2 linked regions of the Styela clava genome follow. The protein of the gene in region 1 purifies or fractionates together with the protein of each later gene. This does not show direct contact. Links are inferred from orthologs where the notes say so. Each region holds a gene or a part of one and is shown in the gene's direction. Other genes may lie near its edges.

Region 1 (10,996 bases):
ATACTAATTTTGTTTGAAATTTAGTACACTGATTGTAATAAGTGTTTAAGGTTATTTTTCGAATAGTCTTTGAAATAGCAAAAATAATTGGTGTAATATGATTAACCATATAACACGTAGAATGATGTTGCTGTTCTAAAACCGAAAATTTACTAGCTTGTTGCACAAATAACTTAAAATAGGCTGTGTTGGTGCCAAGGTAACTAGACTTCTTCCTTGACTATTAACTCATTTGGTATTACTAATGAACACGATGGATATCTTAACTTCATTGATTATTGACTTTTTGATAACAGAGGTAAGGCGAAAGAGTAACAACCAACCTAGAATGCCAAATAGCAGTGAAAAGTCTGTCATCTCTGTCTAATTGTTCTTGTTGCATTTGTCTTCTCATTTCAACATCAACTTGTTCAGTGATCATTGCTGACCTTAAAGTATGACCACTGCGAGTTGTTCCAGTGAAGTTTTGGTATCGAATGGCCTGGATGAGAATATATGAATGTTGGTGATCGTGAATTTAAATAATTTATATGGGTGGGTCGAAATTACTTGGTAGTTCATTTACTAATCACGATCTAAATTGAATTTATTATATTGATAATCGTGAAGTTTATATGTCGTTTTATAGAGAGTTATCTGAAAAGTTGCTGCCAAATACTTGCCATTGTCATATAAAATTATATAATCAGGTCGGGTGGGTTTTGTGGGTTCAAAAGTCTATGTATCAAAGCGATGGTTGGACTGAAATATGTTGGCATTGCAGATAAAAATCTTGGGTGCTCCCGAAGTATGCGAACCAAGATGGCGGACATCGGAACGTAACATGGGCAACAGGTTAGGGTTAGGCGATAATTTTTTCCAATTTTCCTTATTTTAGTCCTATTATCAGTTCGAAGACTAGTCAAGAGCCTCCCGTAGTATTTATACATAAAATTATGGCCTAACCCTAACCTAGTACACATATTACATTCCGATGTCCGCCATCTTGGTTCGCATACTTCGGGAGCCCCAAATCTTGAGTTTAGATTCCATGGCAATCACCTCCCCCAAGGTGTAATAAGTTGGTAAGGTAATGCCAAACCAGAAACATAGTAGTTATCCTTCATTTCAGAGTTGCTTATAGAAAGCCTTGTTCAGATTATTTTATATAATACATTCTGACATGTCTCATGATTTTACTACATAACACATCAAATCAAAAATAATAAATGAGGTGAAATTAAAATTAGTTTGACATCTGGAAACGTAAGGAAAAAAACTTAACATGTCTGCAAATTGCAATACTATAAAAAAATTTTCTACTTCTTCTCTGGCAAAATCACAAAATTTGTTTAGCAGATTTTACTAAAACAAATTTCCAACAAAGATTCAATCACGAATCCGTTCTATCTATAGTACATATATGAAATTGCGTTCTGATTTTATTAATTCATATAATATCTTCCGGTAGAGCATTAAATTAAAATTTATCTTAACGACATTACTCCTTCCAATTTCTTACCAAAAGAGTTTCTCTGAGGACTTTGATGTCACTGGAATTATTATCATTAAGCACATAATCATCACATTTATAACAGAAAACATACAGTTCATTGACATCGATAACCAGTGGATGACCAGATTCTTGAAAATGTGTTAGGGCGTGTTCTTTTATAAACCTGCAAAACAAAATTTTTTACATTACATATATTCAGTACCACGTATTCTTGTTTATTTGTTACAAATACAATAGGCGCAATGGCCAAGTGGTAAAGATGCTGAAGTAATATTACTGATTAAAAATCTTGGGTTCAAATCCTATGTATGACACCTTACTCAGACTGTAATAAATTGGATAGGCAATGACGAATTGCAAGGAATCTGGTCCTTCCAAAATATCATAGGTTCTTACCTATCGGATGCTTATACAGAGCCTTGCCCAGAGAGGTGTATAAATAGGTCGAATAAAAAAACAATATGCCTATTTAATATTATATGGAACTAAATAAGTTTGAGAAAGCCTTTTTTTAGACAGTAGTGCTCAAACATTTCTTTATTATGTATACACGTACACGTATACACGTATTTCCAACATGCTTTATAAATAAAACATACTTTCGCCTTACTATCTGTTATTCGTAGCTTATTGTTAGCTAGTTATTTTTGAGGTGGGGCATGAGACTTGGGATTTTCTAAAAAGGGGGCTCGGCTCAAAAATCTTGAGAACCACTGTTTTAGAGCATAACCACTCGTTTAATATAGGACAAATTGACCTTTTGTTTTATAACCAATTTAATACCAGGTGAAAGTTCATCCTTATATTTTCATGATTTGATATCTTATGTCTGGCCCAAACTTGATTTAGTATAACAAACTAATATTTGGTAATAGCCAGCTTAGCAATTACAGTATTGGAGAACTTTCTTAAAGCTTAGTCACAACTGGCCAAAACTAACGGAAAATTCTGATGTCATATTATGAGTGAAAAAGAGGGCTCCAAAGACAGATATAATTTCCTGACGCGAGCAGATGAATTATCGAACAAATACAATTGTCTGACATTTGTAAATTTGTTGATTTCGAACCCAGTTGTATGAACACATTCACATACAATCATTTTGAAATACATTCCTTTATCAAATAGAAATTTTATCTCACTTACCAAATTAATGAAATAAATATATACAAATGATGAATGTATATAAATTCAAATGGCAAAAAAAATTAGAGCTTTCATGCAGTTGATTGATCATTTAGGAATGCTAATATCTGGTCCATCTATGTCCGAAAGCAATAAGTTAATAATTTATTCAAAAGTATATAGGATTGACTAAAAACATTGATGATACAAGACCTTATTAATGTGCTGAGTACAAAGACACAAAACAGGAAATATATCTCTCTACTCTTGAGTGAGTTTCTATCATGTGCGAGTGAGCTTGTGAATTTGCAGAAGTAAAATTTGTGTTATTGAAACTAATTGACGCAACAGGGATATCGAAAAATAACAACATATCACAGTAAAACATACAGAGTGTAGGCTTCAGATACGTACCTGCCGCATGCTACATTCGGGCAACTTAGACACGCCCATACAGATTCTGTTGTGAAGCATGTTTCACATAACCATCGCTGAGGATTCACAATCGAATGTCGTTCTCCAATTCGAATCTTTCGAATATGCTTACAATTACAAATGCTCAATTCATAACCAGTTGTCAACCGAAAATTTGTACATCTCGCCAGATAATTTTCTTCTTGTTTAACAATTGTATCTCCACCCTAAATAAATTTCAATAATTATAGATATGTTCGTGTTATTATTATAGAATTAATATACATGGAATTATAGGTACCTTTGTGCACGGCTTGGCACCTTTGCAACCACCTTGCAACTTCAAATTCTGATTATCAGATTTAGATCCTCGTTTTGGGGAAGATTTATCGGCATTTTGACGTGGTGATGGCATACGAACACTGCTAGCGTTGTTTTTCATTACAGATCTGTGTTTTGACGTCAACTAAGTTAGTCAGAAGTTTCAACAGCTGCACAATATAAAAAATGAAGTAAAACATTCAACATAGTATAAAAATAATACAGTACAGCACACTTTCCGAATTCCAAGAATGTCCCGTCATTTGGTTCAATAAAACAAACACTCCATCTGTCTCACAAACGAGGGCCGTCTAACACAATGATAGAGGTGCCATATGGCGTCATGTGTGCCCCGATAATAATGTAAATTAATCGTGGCCGTCGCATGATCAAAATTGCTGTTTTTGCTAAAAACTCTCGAATGCCACGGTAGAAAGTTTTTCCTTCTGATTCCTTATTATTTTTTCCAGAGGAATTCAACAATGACGTTTTTAGATTGCGCTTCTCTGTAGTTTTTTGCCCAATTTCATTTTAACGTATATTGAGGGACAACAATGTCCAGACGTCCTCGAAAGGAGAAGTGTTTGTTCATCCGCAAAATGGGATTCTTTGGAACGAGACAATGTCTCTCGATCTGTTTAGTGTGCCGTATTTTAGTAGTAAATGCCTCTATAACTAATTCGTTTTACATCTATCGTAACAATGTGAAAATCTTAGTTTAGTTTTTCAACAGCCGTGCTGATTGTGTAATGTAAATTACTCTATAATTTATGTAGAACATCAATTTTATATAAATGGCCGTATGTGAACAATATGTTTGGCAAATACGGAAATCCTGCTGTCCACTTCCCAAACCACAGAACCAACAACATCTGATTCCTCAAGCGGTCAAAGAAGAACTTATCAATACAATAACACAAGACTAACAAACTACTGAACTACAAGATGCTATCTGTTTTAGAATAATGTTCTTCTGTTTATTTTTAAGCAGTTAGTAGGCTAGGCTATTTCATTACTAGGTTAGTACCATAGAACCTTCAAAAATGGCATGTTTTGACACCTGGCTGCATTTACAGATTTGGGTATTGCTGAAATTAATTGCACTTGTAAGTTTTAAATCAGGTACATAGGCTACCCATATTAATTTGAAAAAAACTATACTTAACAATAAAGATTACAGCATTTTTACAAGCACGAAACGAACCATGGGTATCAACTTATGACATCTAAATACCAGGATACTAGGATATCACAGCAACGTCACCACGCTTCTGCAGCTGGATTTGCCTATTTTTGAGCTGAGTACTGGAGTAGTAACTGGCTTGCAGGGTAAGGTATACCAAGTCGATCTGTCAAAATTCATGGCATTCACATCTAACATATAGATTCATTAACAACATTACGCAAATGACCGAAATTCCGCTCTAACTGCAATGAACAAAGCATTGAACGCGGGCAACGACTTCCTTCGCCCAACCATCTCCAGCAAAAATAACTCTGTATGGTGACGTCACCTGTCATGCTCCAGTAGTCCCATTATCTTTCATTTTTTCTCTTCTCTCGTTTGTAGGAGAGAATAAATTACCAGACAAACGTGGATGAGCGTGGGCACGTGATAAATGTTTGACGATGAGCAAACTTGCCAGGGCGGTGCTTGGTTTCTCAAAGGGTTTGTTGCGTAATAATTTTCTCGCCGAGGTGCTTCCCGAATAAAAAGGTCCAACGGGCATTTTGAGAAGGGGTGGAAATGACAAAATGATGCAAGCAGTTAGTCATAAGTAAGAAATACGAATTTACATCCACTTACGCTCACTGCAATTGAAGCATGCTTTTTCGGTGAGTCACCAAATCACGAATTAATGAAAACAAAACTTACCAACATTTCCATAATGAAAACTGATAATAACCGGCCGACAAGTCAACTACTGTAATATACCTGTATGTAGTTAGCAGCAATGCCATTAAAACGTTTATGACATAACAATGAAATTGATCTTTCATTTCTCATAATTAGTCTTATTACAGATGTTCTTTTTCGGTGGAATATGAACCAACGAGAGTCCCGGAATGTTTTGGGGGTATACGAGAACTAAACGCTACTTTGAAGTTCTTTTCTCGCATACATTGCTTTCGGAAAAAACGAATCCGTGTTTTCGCACATGATTTCCATAAAATCAAGTACCAGTAATCGCATCAGTCCTGATATATTCTGCATTCGCAATGCTCAACACTATGTAATAATGACTCACTGAAGCAGACGTGTTTTTTTCCGATTAAGAATATAAGATTCGATCCATAACTAAATGGATAGGTTCCCATATTTATCTCCGTGTAGCAGACAATAAGCATTTGGTGTAGAGTAGAACCACCATCTTCTCAGTTCTCACACGGTGGCTCAAGTTGGTCATGTATTTGTTTCAGGTGTATAGACTTCATGTAGGTGTTACCGAGCAGTTTCCATCTCCAATTTGACGCCCAGTGACCGTATTCGGCCATCCCTAATTTGACTATTTTGCTACCACCACTACAGACTGCGAAGAGTCCAGCTGCGAGCCGTGTATGATTATCACAGGCGCTATGATACCGTAACGCTTAGCATCGTGCGCACCAAAGACCATATGTACCTTTGTATGGATGGCCTATATTTGGAATTGAAAGAGATGTCGGGTAAGACACAAAATTTAAAGATCACGATGTTGTTGCAAGTGTCCTTGGACCCGTCTGCCGCAGCTTATGTTAATTTTTTATTTTACTTGCATAACTCAGATATAAACTCAATAATTGAGACAAATTTTTCCTTTTGACTGAGTTTTTGTTTGCATTGCCAGGAGCGTGAAAATACGGTAGCCTACCGGTACCGTACTGAATTAGGATCTGATGGTGAAGGAAGCTATGGATGTTTCCACGAGCATCAATTTCCATGTTTCTTTCCGTAATGCAGTAATACCTAATGGCCTATCGGCAATGAGTTAATATTGACAGATTGACGTAACAATTAAAGCTGTAAAGTTAGTGAGGCCACTCAGACACTTGTTTCGCTCAGACAGATATTCAAGAATGTTAATACAGTAATACTTGTTTGACAAATAATGAAATACAAAAATACCAGATTGCTTTCTTACATCACTGCGTCTGCATGGAGGACTGAGAGATAGACATATTGTGCCCAACTATCTTTACTATATTTACAGATAACTGGATAGGGGCGTAATCGTCAAGGCACTCGCTTCTTTAGATCCAGGTATCTATTTTCACCATGCCTGTCTCATTTTACAGTTTTACTCTTGTCCTCTTGTTCATGCAATTCTAGTAGTCTGTTAGTGGTCATGAAGAACTTTCATATTCTGTATTTTATTATATATTAGTTTTGCCAATAAAGTCATATCTTTTTTTTTAAATATGGATTGTTGAAGTCAATATAAACATGAGATTACAAAACTTTTTTTAGAAAAATTATTGATTGACTGGTATTAAGGTATACTTAAACTTCCTCAAAATTTGAAACTCAACAATACTACAATATGACAACATTAACAAAAGAACATGTGATGAATTGCATGTTCTCAAAATGGTATTCACAATTTTCAGACATCACAATAAAAAGGTAGGAGTTGATGAAATCTTATTTTATTTAAAATGTCTTTGGCTATGTCAAGAGTTACACTATTACGACGTATCTTTCCGCGGTTCTGTTCGAAATCAAAAATGCTGTCTAGTGCAAGGCATATGCATATTGTTGACAAGGATCAGGATAATGTCAGATATGCTCATTTGAAACATCGGAGTTTACTTGAACTCGAAGGACGGGATGTTACCAATTTTTTACAAGGGATTATAACCAATGACGTTGAACTTCTCCCTGAAATGAAATGCATGTATGCAATGATTTTAAACCAACATGGACGCATTATGCATGATATTATGTTATATCATCAACAACACGACACAGAAAACAAAGTCCTTCTTGAATGTGAGTCGTCAAATTCCGAAAGTATCATTAAAATTTTAAAATTATATAAACTGAGAAAAAAACTGAGTATTACACCCAGAGATAATCTATCGGTGGTGCAGGCAATGTCTGGAAATTCTTTTCATATTTCTCCACAGTTCAGCAATGTAGTCACTTCTGCCATTGACCCGAGGGTCCCAATGCTCGGGCATAGACTGGTGGTTGAAAATATGTCAGAAAGTGACTCTGCATTAATTAACATGGATATTAATGCATATCATCATAAAAGACATTACATTGGTGTTCCAGAGGGTCCGTTAGATTTGCCACCTGGAACTTGTCTGCCCTTGGAATGCAATCTTGATTTTATGAATGGTGTCAGCTTTCATAAAGGATGTTATATTGGTCAAGAGCTCACAGCTCGTACCAAATTCACCGGTGTCATTAGAAAACGACTTGTTCCTGTGAGCATAGAAGGAGAAGGATCTATTGAATCTGGGTCTTCAATATACACAGAGAAGAGAAAAAGTGCAGGAAAGTTTCGATCAATGCATTCTGATGGTAAAGTAGGTCTTGCATTAGTGAGACTGAACTACTCAGGAGAGACACTTTCTTCAAAAGATGGTCAGCTAAAATTTCGATGTCATATTCCAATGTGGTGGCCATCTGAAGATGGCACTGAATTTTCTGACGGAGTTTGTGGCCCAGCAACAGAGGAAAACATATGATCTTTTTATTTCGATTTAACAAATATTCATCTATTTTTTGCTTACATTTATCGCTTTTTAATCTCTCGTATTAATTTGAATTCAACAGTTCTTTGATTTATTTTTCGAGGATTCTTTTAAATTATATAGTGAATTTGATTTATACTAGATGCAATGTAAATTAGTTTTTGACATATATCAGTAAATAACACTAAATTTCCTAATATAATTTAACTATTAGATTGAAATTCATAATTTTCAGGCTATTGAACTCTTAATACTGAATATGTTGAAGAACTGTAATTGTTCACTTCAAATGTGTTTAATAATCGATGGCTGTCATTTGTGGATTTTTGTTTTTTAGCTTTATTATACCATTGCCGGATGATTTTGTTGAATATTTGCAAAAAGATGGTCCATTGATATTACCAAAAGGTGCTGATTTAAGTATACAAAGTAATTTCGATGATAATGAAAATTGGTCAGATGAAGACGAAACACAAAATGAAAATGAGGTTTGAAGATTTTCTAAGATTTCGAATCTGTGATATTCTTGCCTTTGTAGGGACGCCAAATTCAGTCATAATTTGAAAAAATGGATTCATAATTATCCTAACTTACTAATTCAGAAGATTTATTACAAAAAAATTCTGGTATATGTATATATTATATACCTATTTCAAAATATACCAGTACTGGGATTGCAATATTTTTGCTTGGAAATATTGGATTGTGGTTTATATACTTATGGAGAAGCAATTGAAGAAGACAATTGTTGTTTACAGGCACCTCAATTCACTGCTCTTCTGGAACAAATCAAAGAAGTTTTAGAGAAATTAAATTGGAAATCATTTCCAAAATTGAATTGGAGTTCACCCAAAGATGCTATTTGGATAACATCGAATAATAGTTTGAAGTGTAACACTCCAGGTGACTTTATGTTTTTATACCCTTTTCATGAAATAGGGTTGTTATTGAATACACCACTATGTCTGGAAAAACTTGAAACTAGGTTTGGCTACTTCCTTGTTACATTCTGTCTGAGGACAATGGTCCTGATTGACCCTTAGCCATTATTGCCAACATAGATGAGGCTTACTACTAGCATTTTTGCTTCTGCTTGTTACAGAATGCCTGATGCCAAAACTTGGGCAGTTAATGTTAATTGTTGTTGAAAATATTTTCAAACTTTTCACTGATTGCGTATCATGCCGACACAAATATTATTACATCAAAGAGGAACTATCAATTAGAATCTGTTCGATTTATTCCTATGATGCACTCGAATCACCTTGCTCATTTGTTTAATAATTATAAACAATCTTCGTACAGCAATATATTTTTTAAAGTGTGTCCAAATATCAGAAATTAGAGTTCAAAATACTGCTTCGTGAAATTGAATTCTTTTCTATATTTATTGTTTTATCAGGTGACATCATTTTACTTATGAAAAGTTCCGACTTCATCACTTACGATTTGACATCTCCATTTAAACTATGTACTGATGATTCAATACCAGATCCACAATTCCAGAAAGAAGTAAGATTTTAATCTTTTATAATTTGTTCAAAATTATATATATGTCGTTCTTTCCGCCAGAAGGGATGTTCACACCCGAATTGTATGTTTTCTGGAATTTTATTCAATTTAAATTAGAATATTTTATTGAGATTTATATTACATGATATTGACATAAATCATGTTCCCACTGCAAGGATGTCAAATTTTAATAATCTGATTATTAAATTAGATTAACAATTTCAGCATCAGCATCAAATCAGCAATTTCCAAGCATCGGAATATTGATATCAGCAAATATTGTCATAAATATCATGCATGTATAATGCATCCTATAATTGTTCTTTTTTTTTTATCATTATTGTAAACTGTTTGTCTGAGGAAGTCTGCCTTTGGTCAGATGGAACAATACAAAATAAAATTTATGAAAATGTGATCCAAAATAAAACCGTATCTTTTTTCTTATCAGATTTATTAAATATTTTCAGTTGGTTTTGAGGAAATGGGCAAACTTAGTACCTGGAATGGAATTCAGATGTTTTGTACGAAACCACAAACTCATTGCTGCGTGTCAGAGACATCATCAACAATATTATGAATATGTTGAAAGCCAACAACAGTCTTTACCTGTAGAAATTTGCAGATTTTTTCAAGAAAAAATTCAACATAAATTTAATAATTCTAATTGTGAGTATCTTGTAAAAGAAAATGATTGAATGAAATATAAAGTGTCTAAAAATGATTTATTATGTTACAGACTTGACAATCATTATTAAACCAATGATCACTTTGTGTGAGTGCTACAAATCTGAATCTCATGAAGGATTAGAGAATGCCAATATGCCATAACCATTGGCAAAATTTTACATTACTATTCTCTCTAGTACCTGTGTTATTTTAATGATTCAAAAGTACTGAATAACCCAATTTTTTTTAGATGTTGTTGACATCTACAAGAAGAGAGATGTGAGTATTAATAGATTTAACTAGATCATTGTTCTTAGAAAATATATTTTTCAGTTTCGGATTTCTGAATTGGTAAATTAGATGATCATGATGTAATATAGGAAATATGGTATTCCCGAAGTATGTGAACCAAGATGGCGGACATATAGCTTATGCTTTTTACCTTGATGACTAGACTTAGGTTGATTAAGAATTTAGGTTAAATTCATTCATTTACTAACTCTAGTTGTGTTTGCAATTGCTTTCTATGTTTTGCTGTTATTTTCTCAGTAATGAACCAGACCCATTTTATTGTTTCATAGTAAACTGTCGAATGTGCTCACTTAATGACCTACAAACAACATTTTTCTTGTTTCAGGGAAAATTCTGGATAATTGATTTTAATCCTTGGGGTTCAATGACAGATTCATTACTGTTTACATGGGAAGAATTGAACTCTTTTGTGCAATCACAATTAACTGAAGAAGATTGTCCCATTATTACACCAGGTATATTATTGTA
Region 2 (10,703 bases), on another chromosome or scaffold:
AAAACGGCTTACAAATATGCTGGGAAAAATGTCTGGATTGCTTCACAAACTTCCATTTTCACCACACCGTCGATGTGCTAATTTGTCATTATTGCAGAAGAACTAAACAAGGAAGCCGTTGCTCGAGGAAACATTCAAAACATTACAAATCAAAAGAAAAGTGCATGGGAAAATATATATATTTAGACTATAGTTAACTACAATTCATCATAATAATATTCTGTCTGTATTGTGAAAAATAATATCATGTGGAAACCAAAACGTTATTATCATGTTTCTTTATTCCATTGTTCAATAAAGGTATGGTGGCAATATTCTTCTCTGTATATATATTCAATTCATGAGATTGGCGAGCTACATAACTTTTAAAGTAGTTGGTAATGCTGGTTAGAAGAATATTATACTTAAAAAATAACATGTCAAGTGTATATAGACTTGTTGGCTTCAGGGGTGATATACTTGACCGGTAGAACTTGATTTATGCGTGAGCTAGATCATGCGTCACTAGTCCCAGATCGTTTGAATCGTCAGTCAGGGGTGCATGCGAAAATTGACGCATTGTAATTTTCGACTGGTCCAGGTTTTGTGATTACTGTTTGCCAATCTGCTACCTAATCTTCAATAAAGAAATTTTTCAGGCTAACAAATCATTTTTTTGAGTGTTCGCACTTTGTTTGCCACAACGCCATTAGGAAACAGCTACTTTTATATCTCTTTCACTGCTATTGTGAAACACGAAAGTGGCCCTCTTTGTTGGTTTCCCAGGATTCCCACTCACTTTCTGTCAAACTTGTGACTTAGCCAATGACACCACTGTTAAAATCAGCAGTAGGCTATGCCTCATGTCATATTTTAGTCTGGTTTATTTTGTTGTTTGTTTAGTTTTGTCGCACCATAAATAATATAATGTTTTGATTTGTTTCTACACAGCAAAACAGACAAACCAAATATCCAAACCTTGGTACGATACTGAGCTACGCAAAATCAACAAAAACTGTATAAGAAACTAATTAATAATAAAAAGATAGATGACACAAATCACAATATATAATGAATGCAGGAATCTTCAAGCTCGACTACTCCAAAAAAGAAATCAAATCGAGGCAGTGTGAAAAACAATTAATGAACTAATTGGTGAAAATAAAAGCAATTTCTGTCCATCTGTTGAACTCGACTGCGGTAGTACACAAATTGCAAATAAATTTAGTACTTTACCCAAGTGACACAAAGATTGCTTGACAATATGGCTCAACCAGCTAGCTATGACAAAAAAACACCTCTCATATCTTGGAAAGCAGGTATTCCCATCTATGTTATTGAGGTCAACTACATCATTGCAATCAATAGCCAACTGCATCATAATTATGCGAACTGCCAAAGTCCAACTCAAGTTTTGGAATCGATTGTACTCCATTCAAAATATTGCAGTAATATGTTCCAGAAGATATCATTGATATCAAGGCATATATACTCAACCACTCACTATCTAGTGGATTATTCATTAAAATCTTCAAAACTAAGCTCTATCACTATGGAATTAGAGGCGTCCCATTCAATTGGATCAGGACCTTCAAGACAGGAAGCAAATTGTGCAATATGACAACTCATTGTCTACAAATATTTGTGTCATGAAGCACGGAGTTCCACAAGGATCTTTACTTGGCCCATTATTTTTTCTAGCTTACATTAATGACATGTCCAGGTGTCTGAAATCCTCTGAGTCGATCATGTTTGCTGATGACACTGATTTGATTCTTCATGGGAAAAACCTTGAAGATCTATTCACAGTTGCAAACCAAGAACTAACCGACATTCATAGCTGGATGTTAGTTAATAAATTATCTCTTAATGCTAACAAAACTAAATTTGTATTATTCCATCCAAGCAAGCATAAAAGTGTGAGTTGTTCAAAAAAACTACTGCTCAATGGCAATGAAATTGAAAGAGGGAAAGAAATAAAATTTCTAGGAGTTATCTTTGATGAAAATCTGTCATGGAAATCACAAATAATGCATGTTATTCGTAAAACTAAAAGAAACCTAGCAGTTTCTGCCAAAGTATCCAAGTGTGTTGATCAATCAGCTCTACTAGCAATGTTTCAATCATTACTACTTAGCCATATTCGATATTGTTGTTCAGTCTGGCTTCATGGTAATAAAACACTTGTCTCAAAACTGCAGAGTATTTGTAATAATTTTTTAAGAATAGTTTTTGGTAAAAGAAAACGTGAAAGTGTAGACCCTTACTTCAAATCACTAAATATATTTAAGGTTGAAGATATGATGAAATTTGAAATATTATCCCTAGATTACAATTTCCTTAATAATGCGCTGCCCAATTGCTTTAACGACATACTTGTCAAAAATACCTCCAACCGAAGAAGTAGTTCTGATTTATTCGTACCTTTCATGAGTAAATCTGTGAGTCAGCATTCCTTGTCTTTTACTGGACCCAAACTTTGGAATTCTCTTCCCCTAAATTTGAAGACGTTAAAGTCCAAAAAATCTTTTCAAAAACAAGTCAAGTCTCATTTAGTTTGCAAATATTAAAATTACTAATGGCGGTATTCGATGACAAAAACTTGGGACACTCCACTCCACCCTTGCACATTATTGTTTTAATGAAAATGTTGAACAGCTATAATAATATGGTTATATCTTGCCATGACTTGGCCAGACCTAGTCCAGCATCAAAAAATGGTATTGTGACATGCATGAGTATATTTTTTTTAAATATATAGGTAGCTGTCATACCTGGATAATATTATCTTTAAATAACTGCACACATTCTATCACTTCACGCTCGTGTTTTTACCTTTTTCTAGCTGTGATGTCCTTATCATACATGCATGGTCTTATGTTTGAGTGGTGGTGTAAGGGTTGTAGATGTATAATATAGTTCCTGCAAGGTTACTAATCATTGCAACAAGGCGAGTAGTAGAGCTATGTTGGATTCTCCCCTTCAGATTTTAATTTGCGGTGGGTCATTTTAATTGGATGTGGTTTTTATATCATTTATGTATGCATGCATTTTATGTTAAGGCAGGGTATTGGTGTTTGAGTTGACATGTTGGCCAAGGTATAGATAGTAAAATTTTGTGTGTTTTTTGCATGGTGTGATAAATTTTTCTCTGTCCCAGGCAGAATGTCATCATAGATCATCTATCCATCGCTATATAATGACAATACATCCCATTTAATTAAACACTTATTTTTTGCCTGTAATAAATAGTTCAGCTTGTTCCCCTTCACCAAATCATTGAAACATCTACTCGCAGTTTTATTTTTTGTTTTTCAGGTTTCTTCAAAGTGATTAAATGAAGTAAAACACATAAGAAAAAAATCAAACAAAGACTCTGATATCCTGTGAAATAACAATCTTATTCCTATATCCTTGTCTGAAATCAATACCCAAAAATGAAAAACCTCACTTACACCCTTTGTAACCAATTTATTTCCATATCCTACTTTACTTAATTATAGTAATTTTACTGTTACCGGTAACTTTAATTACTTATTACAATCTGGACTATAATTTGGCAATAATAGGCTCTAACTTGGGGAATGAAATGGTCTCGCCCACCTCTTCATGCACCCAATTCTGGTAACTTTGATTGGGCAACTTGGCATTTGACTCCAACTATAATCAGCTTGGCAATATGTTTTCAATAGAATCTTCCTTTTATATTTTAATTAACGATTAGAAGATCGATCAATTTGGCAATGGCAACCATTACAAAATTATCCATATGTAGTGGCAAATAATTTTTTTTTTCTTTCTCTAGTATTTATTTTTATTTTTTTTGTTTACTGCCCTATAGTCTACCCTAAATTTATCGCGTTTTATTCTGACTTAAAATAACTTCTCAGTGGTTGAGTGTGTGTGCATGTCAGCGTGTGTGAAATAACTTAATCATTTTAGGTGAGTAAACACGTACCACTTCCTCTTGGCAAAACCTCCCATCTTATATTTTGTACGTTATAAACCTTATCTAAGGTTTCGTTTGCTCCCCTGATTTCATAATCAGTTTTTATTTATTTGTTTTTATCTGTCAAATGTATTGTTATGCTTATTATGGAGTCGAAATAAACTTACTATATTATTATTACATCTGAAGTTTTTCCTCTTTTTGGAGTGTTTAAAGCAGTTTTTCTTGGACTTTTGTGTGAGCGAACACGTACCACTCACTATTAAGTTTTGTTTGCTCTCCCGATTCTGTGATCAGTTTTATACATTTTGTTTTCATCATTTACATTAACCTTTTTTTAGGACGATGCTGGGGTATATATACATACCAGTACAGAAATGCCAATTTTGCTTTTTTTGTTTGTATTATTTCTGACAGACATGGGTACAACTTCGTTATACTAATAACAGAAAGATATCGAAAAACTGGGAGAGAAATTTTATTGCATTCATTTCATGTCGAGTCAATTAAATTACGCATTATCCTCCTCCATAATCTGCTCTGACATTGGAATATGAGACAGTTACTGTTAATTTAACTTTGTACAGCAGTAGATATATTTGTAAACTAAAATGTACGATGTAAAAGTGATTGACCGAATAAATTTCCATAGGTCATAACACGTCAGTTTTAGCCTATTCTGTCGCAGATTTTTCGGGACTAATTTCTAGGCTTACCATACGTCCCGGTTTTAGCATGTTTTCCGCCGTCCCGCCGAAAGACTTGAATGTGGTTTACGGTTTTGCAGTATGACAGTCATAAATAGTTTTTCTATTTGAAACTACTAAATGTTTTTAACGGAGGCATCCGATTCACCACTGATTCGCGTCTCACTTGACTAGTTCAGATATAGAGAAAAATATTTGCGTCATGGTTAGGATATGACAGTATGAACCATGCGTTAATTTAACACCCGAATGTCGTTGAATTATCAAAGTGCCGGAAACAAAGTGCAAGTTTTCTAATGAGTTGAACGATTTCAATTATTTGAAGCAAAGACTTATAGTCATAGAGGATATTTTTTAAAAGTATTTACAGCTAATTTTTAGGCCCGTAATCTACCCACAATGGTATGGAAAACGTTTAAATTAAACTATTACTATGCCCCTGGAATGAAAGGTTGGCTTGTCAAATCCGCGCCGTTTCAGTCACCGAGGTTCCTGATCCATGCTGTATATAAAAATCAGTCAGATAAAGCATTGGCGATGAAATATGGATAAAAAATAGAGATAAAATGTATATGTACGAGTCGACAATTTAATATTCTAAATTTAATAATGAAAGTGAGGCCGAAATAAAGTGTACGAGCGACTGCACAAAGTTCCATTGTTGACTTATTGCTGATTGTTCATTGGTACAAAATAAACAAGGGAATCGACGCTCGGAGAAACATCCATAGTCACCATAATTTTGAGAAAATCGCAAAGGGCAGCGTGGCAAGTGCCGTGGTCACTATCACCAAAGCCGTTATATAATGGCTCTGGTATCACTACGCCAACTGCGTTCCCTTTTCTATATGGCTGATGCAATGATTTCTTTTTTAACGGCTGAGTGAGCACCGTATTATGGATGTCATTATTGGCAATATTTCGACAACAAATATCAAGTAAAAAGTTTGTCAAAAATTGATTGATCATGAAGTAATTGAATGTACGACTGATTCAATGTAAAAATGATGCAATTTTAAGAAATTTTAATGAGATCCACCCTTCACGCAACACCGAACACCATCTGTTCTGTTATGAAAAATTGCGAAATCGTCATTCGTTGACGAGGTCTTGCTCACGTTTTAACGCAGAAATTGCAGTGGAGCTGTTTGGACCGTATGCTCTCAGTTCTTTTGTTCAGCTAACAAGTTCCTTATTTATATTAGTTTTTTTCATAAATACACGAATTGATTAATAAATCAGCAATGGCCGCGGCAGAGGACAATGACGATATGGTAAGTTTTGGCATTTCAGATTTGTCAGGTGCAACATGAAGTTACAGAGTTATGTTCTATATTCTGTGCATTGTGTTCTGAAATTTGCTTTGTACAGTTGTACCTACGGTATGTGGATACCGAGTACCGATCTTAAAATAAATTTCCCATATTTCATATTAATCAGCTATGCAGTGTGGGGCATCACTCAAAGCATACAGTCATAAGGAACTGGAATATGCTCGCCACCACATCCGTGATTACTTTCCTCTTTAAGGATAAATAGTAATATTTCATCCTTCTAACCAAAAAGCCCTGTATACTAGTTGAGTGTAACTTCGAACTTTTTTTTTGACTATTGAATCACAGAATCTTGAATTAACAAAGAAGAAGAAGAAAAAGAAGACTGCAAATTTAGATGAACTCATTGGTAATACAGAGTCGACCGAAGTACTAAAACAAGAAAATGGAGAAACTCCGGCTCCAGAAGGTATTACCACTAAGAGTATGATAAAAACTGTTAAAAGACTACCTTTGTTAATACAATTACTATTTCTAGCAAATTTTCCCCATGTGTGATTACATGATGATACGATCCGGTGACAAGATAAATAATCTTTTAATATTTTCACTCAGTTACTTTCTCAAAAATAAGATAATAAGCCACAGAATATTAGCGTGGCGGGAATATGTGATATCTGATAAAATTTGAAAATTGCTGTCCAGCTCCATTTTTGACTCAAGTTTTGAGTCATTTTTACTATGATTGCTCTTTGAATTTTTTTGGCAGGAAAAATTCTTGAGATGGAATATAGGTAGAAATTATTTTAAATGTTCTTTTTATAGTTGAAGATGAATTATCACTCACAAATCTGAAAAAAAAGAAGAAGAAAAAGAAGTTTGTCCTGGATGACGAAGATGGTGAAGGTGACAAAGATAAAAACGAAACAGGTATTGTGGGGTTATTTAGTGCAGGGGTGTGCGAACTGCGGCCCACAAAAATAGTGCGGCCTGTGGAGAAGTGCTAATTTTGAATAGTGTGCTGCCCGTGAAACAAGTTTTTTTAATTCAGTTTTATCTGTTACTTGCGACCCTTTGCATTGCAAGGCCTAGTCCAATAATTATCTATGTCTATGACGTTACAGTGCCCCAAACACAAGCTTGTGCAAAGCAAAGTTGTAAAAGGATCAACTAGATTGCGATCGGAGACCGCCGACTTATCGATCTGCGGTTTCGATTCCTTTGCTCTGACTTAATAGAGACACTGCGTGTCCTATCAGTAATTAATTAATAACTCTAATTATACGACATAATTCATCCAAAATCAATAGGCTTCTAGATATGATGTATGCACATGCAAAATTTGGAGCAGATTCAACTTCGCTTTCGTGAGATATTGCGTAACATACGAAAGTGTCTAACAGACAAATACCTATCAACATACTTACCGATCGAGATCGATAAGTGATAACCAAGTTTTTGTCATAGTGTAAACAGTGATGCACAAATTCCTTTCGCCTAAAATATTTTTGTTGGCTTTGTTTGACCTAAAAATGTAGGATATAATTTTTGCAGTGGTACTAATTTTGTGCTTTAAATTGTGTTTTAATTGACGATAAAACTGTTTTCGTGGTTTGCTCTTATTCCGAGGATGAAAAGGTGAAATAAAAATGGTGTAAATAAAAATGAATAAATTATGTTGCATCAATGTAATACTTTTGGTCCAACAGAATTAAAACAATACATTTCATTATGTGACCTGTAGAAACTTACGGTGAAAACTTTGGGTGCCTATAGGAAAAAGTTTTTTTTAATATTTTTATCATCTCTCTGCATAAATAAATCTAAAATATCTTGTTTATTCATATTTTGCAGGTGATGCTGGGGATGAGGGCACAGCTCAAGAAAAAGTAAATTATTTTAATATTTTCTTTATTGAAATTGTATTGTGAGTTACTTTATGTGTTGGTTGTTTTTATCTCATCAGTATGGTAGTTAAATTTAATGTTATTTATATAGAATGTCATTTTTATCAGTTATCTACAAAGTTTATATCTGAATACTTTTTATAGTCCACCGTTCTAAGTATTATTCCTGTTCTCAATTCTTATTGGATAATACGTTTTGTTCCATAGAAAGAAGACGGAGAAGAAGAAGAACTCGATTTAACTCATAAGAAGAAAAAGAAAAAGGGCAAAGAAGTTGCTTTCGCAGACCAAGTTGAGGAACAAAATGGTATTTGTTTTGTCAATTTTTTGTCGAAATTTGTTCTATGCATAATTTAACACATTTTCATGGGTTTCATTTGTTTATTTCAGAACAAGAAGAAATTCATGTAACTCCAGGAGAATCAACATGGGCAGGAACAGATAGAGACTATACATATGAAGAGGTTTGTTAATTCACACATTCTATATTTCCATTTTGGCGCTCCAGGAGTGTGTATAGCAATATAGATGTAACTAATTTTGTTCGCTTACTTTACATCAAGATGTGTAAGGGGACTGAATCTTATGGACAGGGGGTATATTCACTGGCTAACACAGACAGTCCCCGAACTCGTAATAGAACTAAAATAAGAAAAAATCGAATAAAATCATGGGCTAACTCTAACCTGGTATCTTCATTTTGGCCTGGTTATGTCATTGCATGTATATCGTTGGCTGAATTAGTTGGGTTTGAGTAAATACTTCTGCAGACTCGTATTTCTATTCCGAATAACGATGAGAGGGCGGCAGTTAATTTATTTAAAATGTCATGATATCTATAGTAATGTTAATAACAGATTTTTCTTCAACACCTTTATTGATATGCTAAAGTGTTATTTTATTATTATGAATATGTTAATGTAATTAACACGTGGTACACAAAATGTGGTTTCATTTGATGTTTTTGTCTGAGCCAAGTTTGTTCATATATGATATGAGTACCCTTGTGTCAACTGTTATCTTCTTACTTGGTCCCTCTATCAGGAGAAGAATTGTAAATAAAAATGAATATTTGATGGATAAATGTACTTAGTTGGCACACTTGGCTATCTGTTTGCTCATTTAACTGTAAATCCCGTGTAAAATGTCTAATTTATTCATTTCAGTTATTGGCAAGGGTATTTGACATCATGAGAAAAAAAAATCCAGAAATGGTCGCCGGTGAAAAGAAGAGATTTATAATGAGACCCCCACAATGTGCTCGTGTTGGAACAAGAAAAACCTCTTTTATTAACTTCACAGAAATATGCGCAGTGTAAGTTAAACTAGTCATATGCTCACATGAAATGCAATTGTTCATCAATGTGTTCCATACTACTAAATTTTGAGCCCATGTGTAGTTGGTCTGTGTTTAGCGATTTCATACGCTGTATACCTAAGAGCAATGTTGCAGTTCTAAAAAATAAAATTTTCGGGTTTGAATTATTTCTAGTATTCTCATGATTTTTCGAGCTTATTTTTTTACTATTTTTCTTCTTTTTACAGCCTTCGAAGACAACCAAAACATTGCCTTTCTTTTATTCTCGCTGAGCTTGGAACGAGGTTCGTAGCATTTATTTCCATTTGTTAGTCGTGAGTGTGTTTGCTTCTTGTCGTTGGAATTCATACTCCATTCAAAACTGAATTATTTGAAGAACGAAAAAAGGTTTAATTTGTTATTGATTGTATATGCCACTGCATTGAGTGTACTTTCAAATGATATTTTTCAAATAATTTTCTGTCGGGTTTCCGATTTCTTGAAATGAGTTAAATAAATCAAAGCAACAGGATAAATCAACCAGACTAACTGTTCCTCTTGCTTCTTGGTGACGCAATTTTCACTATAATCAATTCAAAGTCTGAGTGGATATGTTTTCAAGTTTATATAAATATACTCTTTATTTTAGTGGTTCTGTTGACGGAAACAATCAACTCATTATAAAAGGAAGATTCCAACAAAAACAACTTGAAAGTGTCCTGAGAAGTTACATAAGTATGTTTTAATTTGTAATCTTTGTTGGAATCTTCAAATGGAAATTGGGAGCTCTGCAACTGAGCTGAGACTAGCGCACGACCTAGTGAGATGACACCACTCAAACCGTGCATTTTGTCTGCCTCTCAACCATTCGACGAATCAAGATGTTAGCAGAATAACATGTGTGAATAAATTTTTGTGATTGTGTGCTTTTTCTTGCTTTTTTGCCGTTGATCATGGCTTCAAAGAAAAGTAGTGATAAAGATTTTATGCTTGATGGGGAAAAATCTGAATGTTGGAAAGGGCCACACGAAATGGTTTGGCGGGCCGGGTTGTGGCCAGCAGGCCGCCCTTGCACACCCCTGGATTAAGCCAATGTTGTTGACTTTTTTTAAATTAATATCCGAATAGTACATGACATTCTTACTCTCGTTTTTTCAGAGGAATATGTGACTTGTCATACCTGCCGCTCACCTGACACAGTTCTTGAGAGAAAGGATAGATTATATTTTCTTCGATGTAATGTATGTCAATCACGCTGCTCCGTCGTAAGCATCAAATCAGGTTTCCAAGCTGTCACAGGCAGAAGAGCAAGGATGAGAGCAAGGGCTACATGAGTAATGTAAACTTTTTCGAAGACTTTGTCACAAAATTCAGAAAGCAGTTATTTTTATCATGTTCGTTGGCACTCGCATCACACAGAATTGTATTTATATTTTCAAAAAATTATCTCTCAATCTTTTACAGTTATCAGTCAATAAGTGCTGCCATTATTGGGACAACTGCTGTGTACAAACTGGCCGAGAGCAAAATAGCGTTTTGCTTAATTGGGCAGTGCATAATGTAATTTTAAGCCAGTATATTTAGTTTCAT

The links. The genes of interacting proteins can lie anywhere in the genome.
Region 2: the proteins of translation initiation factor eIF2 assembly protein-like (region 1) and eukaryotic translation initiation factor 2 subunit 2-like purify together in Homo sapiens (affinity purification with mass spectrometry; 4 studies listed by BioGRID and IntAct, counting the BioPlex papers as one, with this or other methods). This does not show direct contact. The link is inferred for Styela clava from reciprocal best matches to the Homo sapiens genes CDC123 and EIF2S2.

What each region holds. Positions count from the first base shown.
Region 1 is NC_135258.1:10,862,576-10,873,571, reverse strand, and holds the start of translation initiation factor eIF2 assembly protein-like, read left to right. Parts: upstream 1-6,800; 5' UTR 6,801-6,876; coding exon 6,877-6,959; exon of another isoform or gene 6,960-6,991; coding exon of another isoform or gene 6,992-8,032; exon of another isoform or gene 8,033-8,375; coding exon 8,376-8,526; intron 8,527-8,796; coding exon 8,797-8,941; intron 8,942-9,440; coding exon 9,441-9,550; intron 9,551-10,017; coding exon 10,018-10,216; intron 10,217-10,466; coding exon 10,467-10,495; intron 10,496-10,853; coding exon 10,854-10,983; intron 10,984-10,996. Other genes in the region: ubiquitin carboxyl-terminal hydrolase 44-like, read right to left, coding at 324-481, 1,502-1,658, 3,035-3,261, 3,336-3,476; iron-sulfur cluster assembly factor IBA57, mitochondrial-like, read left to right, coding at 6,992-8,032. UniProt on the Homo sapiens protein: ATP-dependent protein-folding chaperone for the eIF2 complex. Binds to the gamma subunit of the eIF2 complex which allows the subunit to assemble with the alpha and beta subunits.
Region 2 is NC_135262.1:17,200,313-17,211,015, reverse strand, and holds the start of eukaryotic translation initiation factor 2 subunit 2-like, read left to right. Parts: upstream 1-5,727; 5' UTR 5,728-5,879; coding exon 5,880-5,909; intron 5,910-6,257; coding exon 6,258-6,378; intron 6,379-6,734; coding exon 6,735-6,839; intron 6,840-7,763; coding exon 7,764-7,798; intron 7,799-8,023; coding exon 8,024-8,123; intron 8,124-8,206; coding exon 8,207-8,280; intron 8,281-8,982; coding exon 8,983-9,131; intron 9,132-9,361; coding exon 9,362-9,418; intron 9,419-9,762; coding exon 9,763-9,848; intron 9,849-10,271; coding exon 10,272-10,447; 3' UTR 10,448-10,703.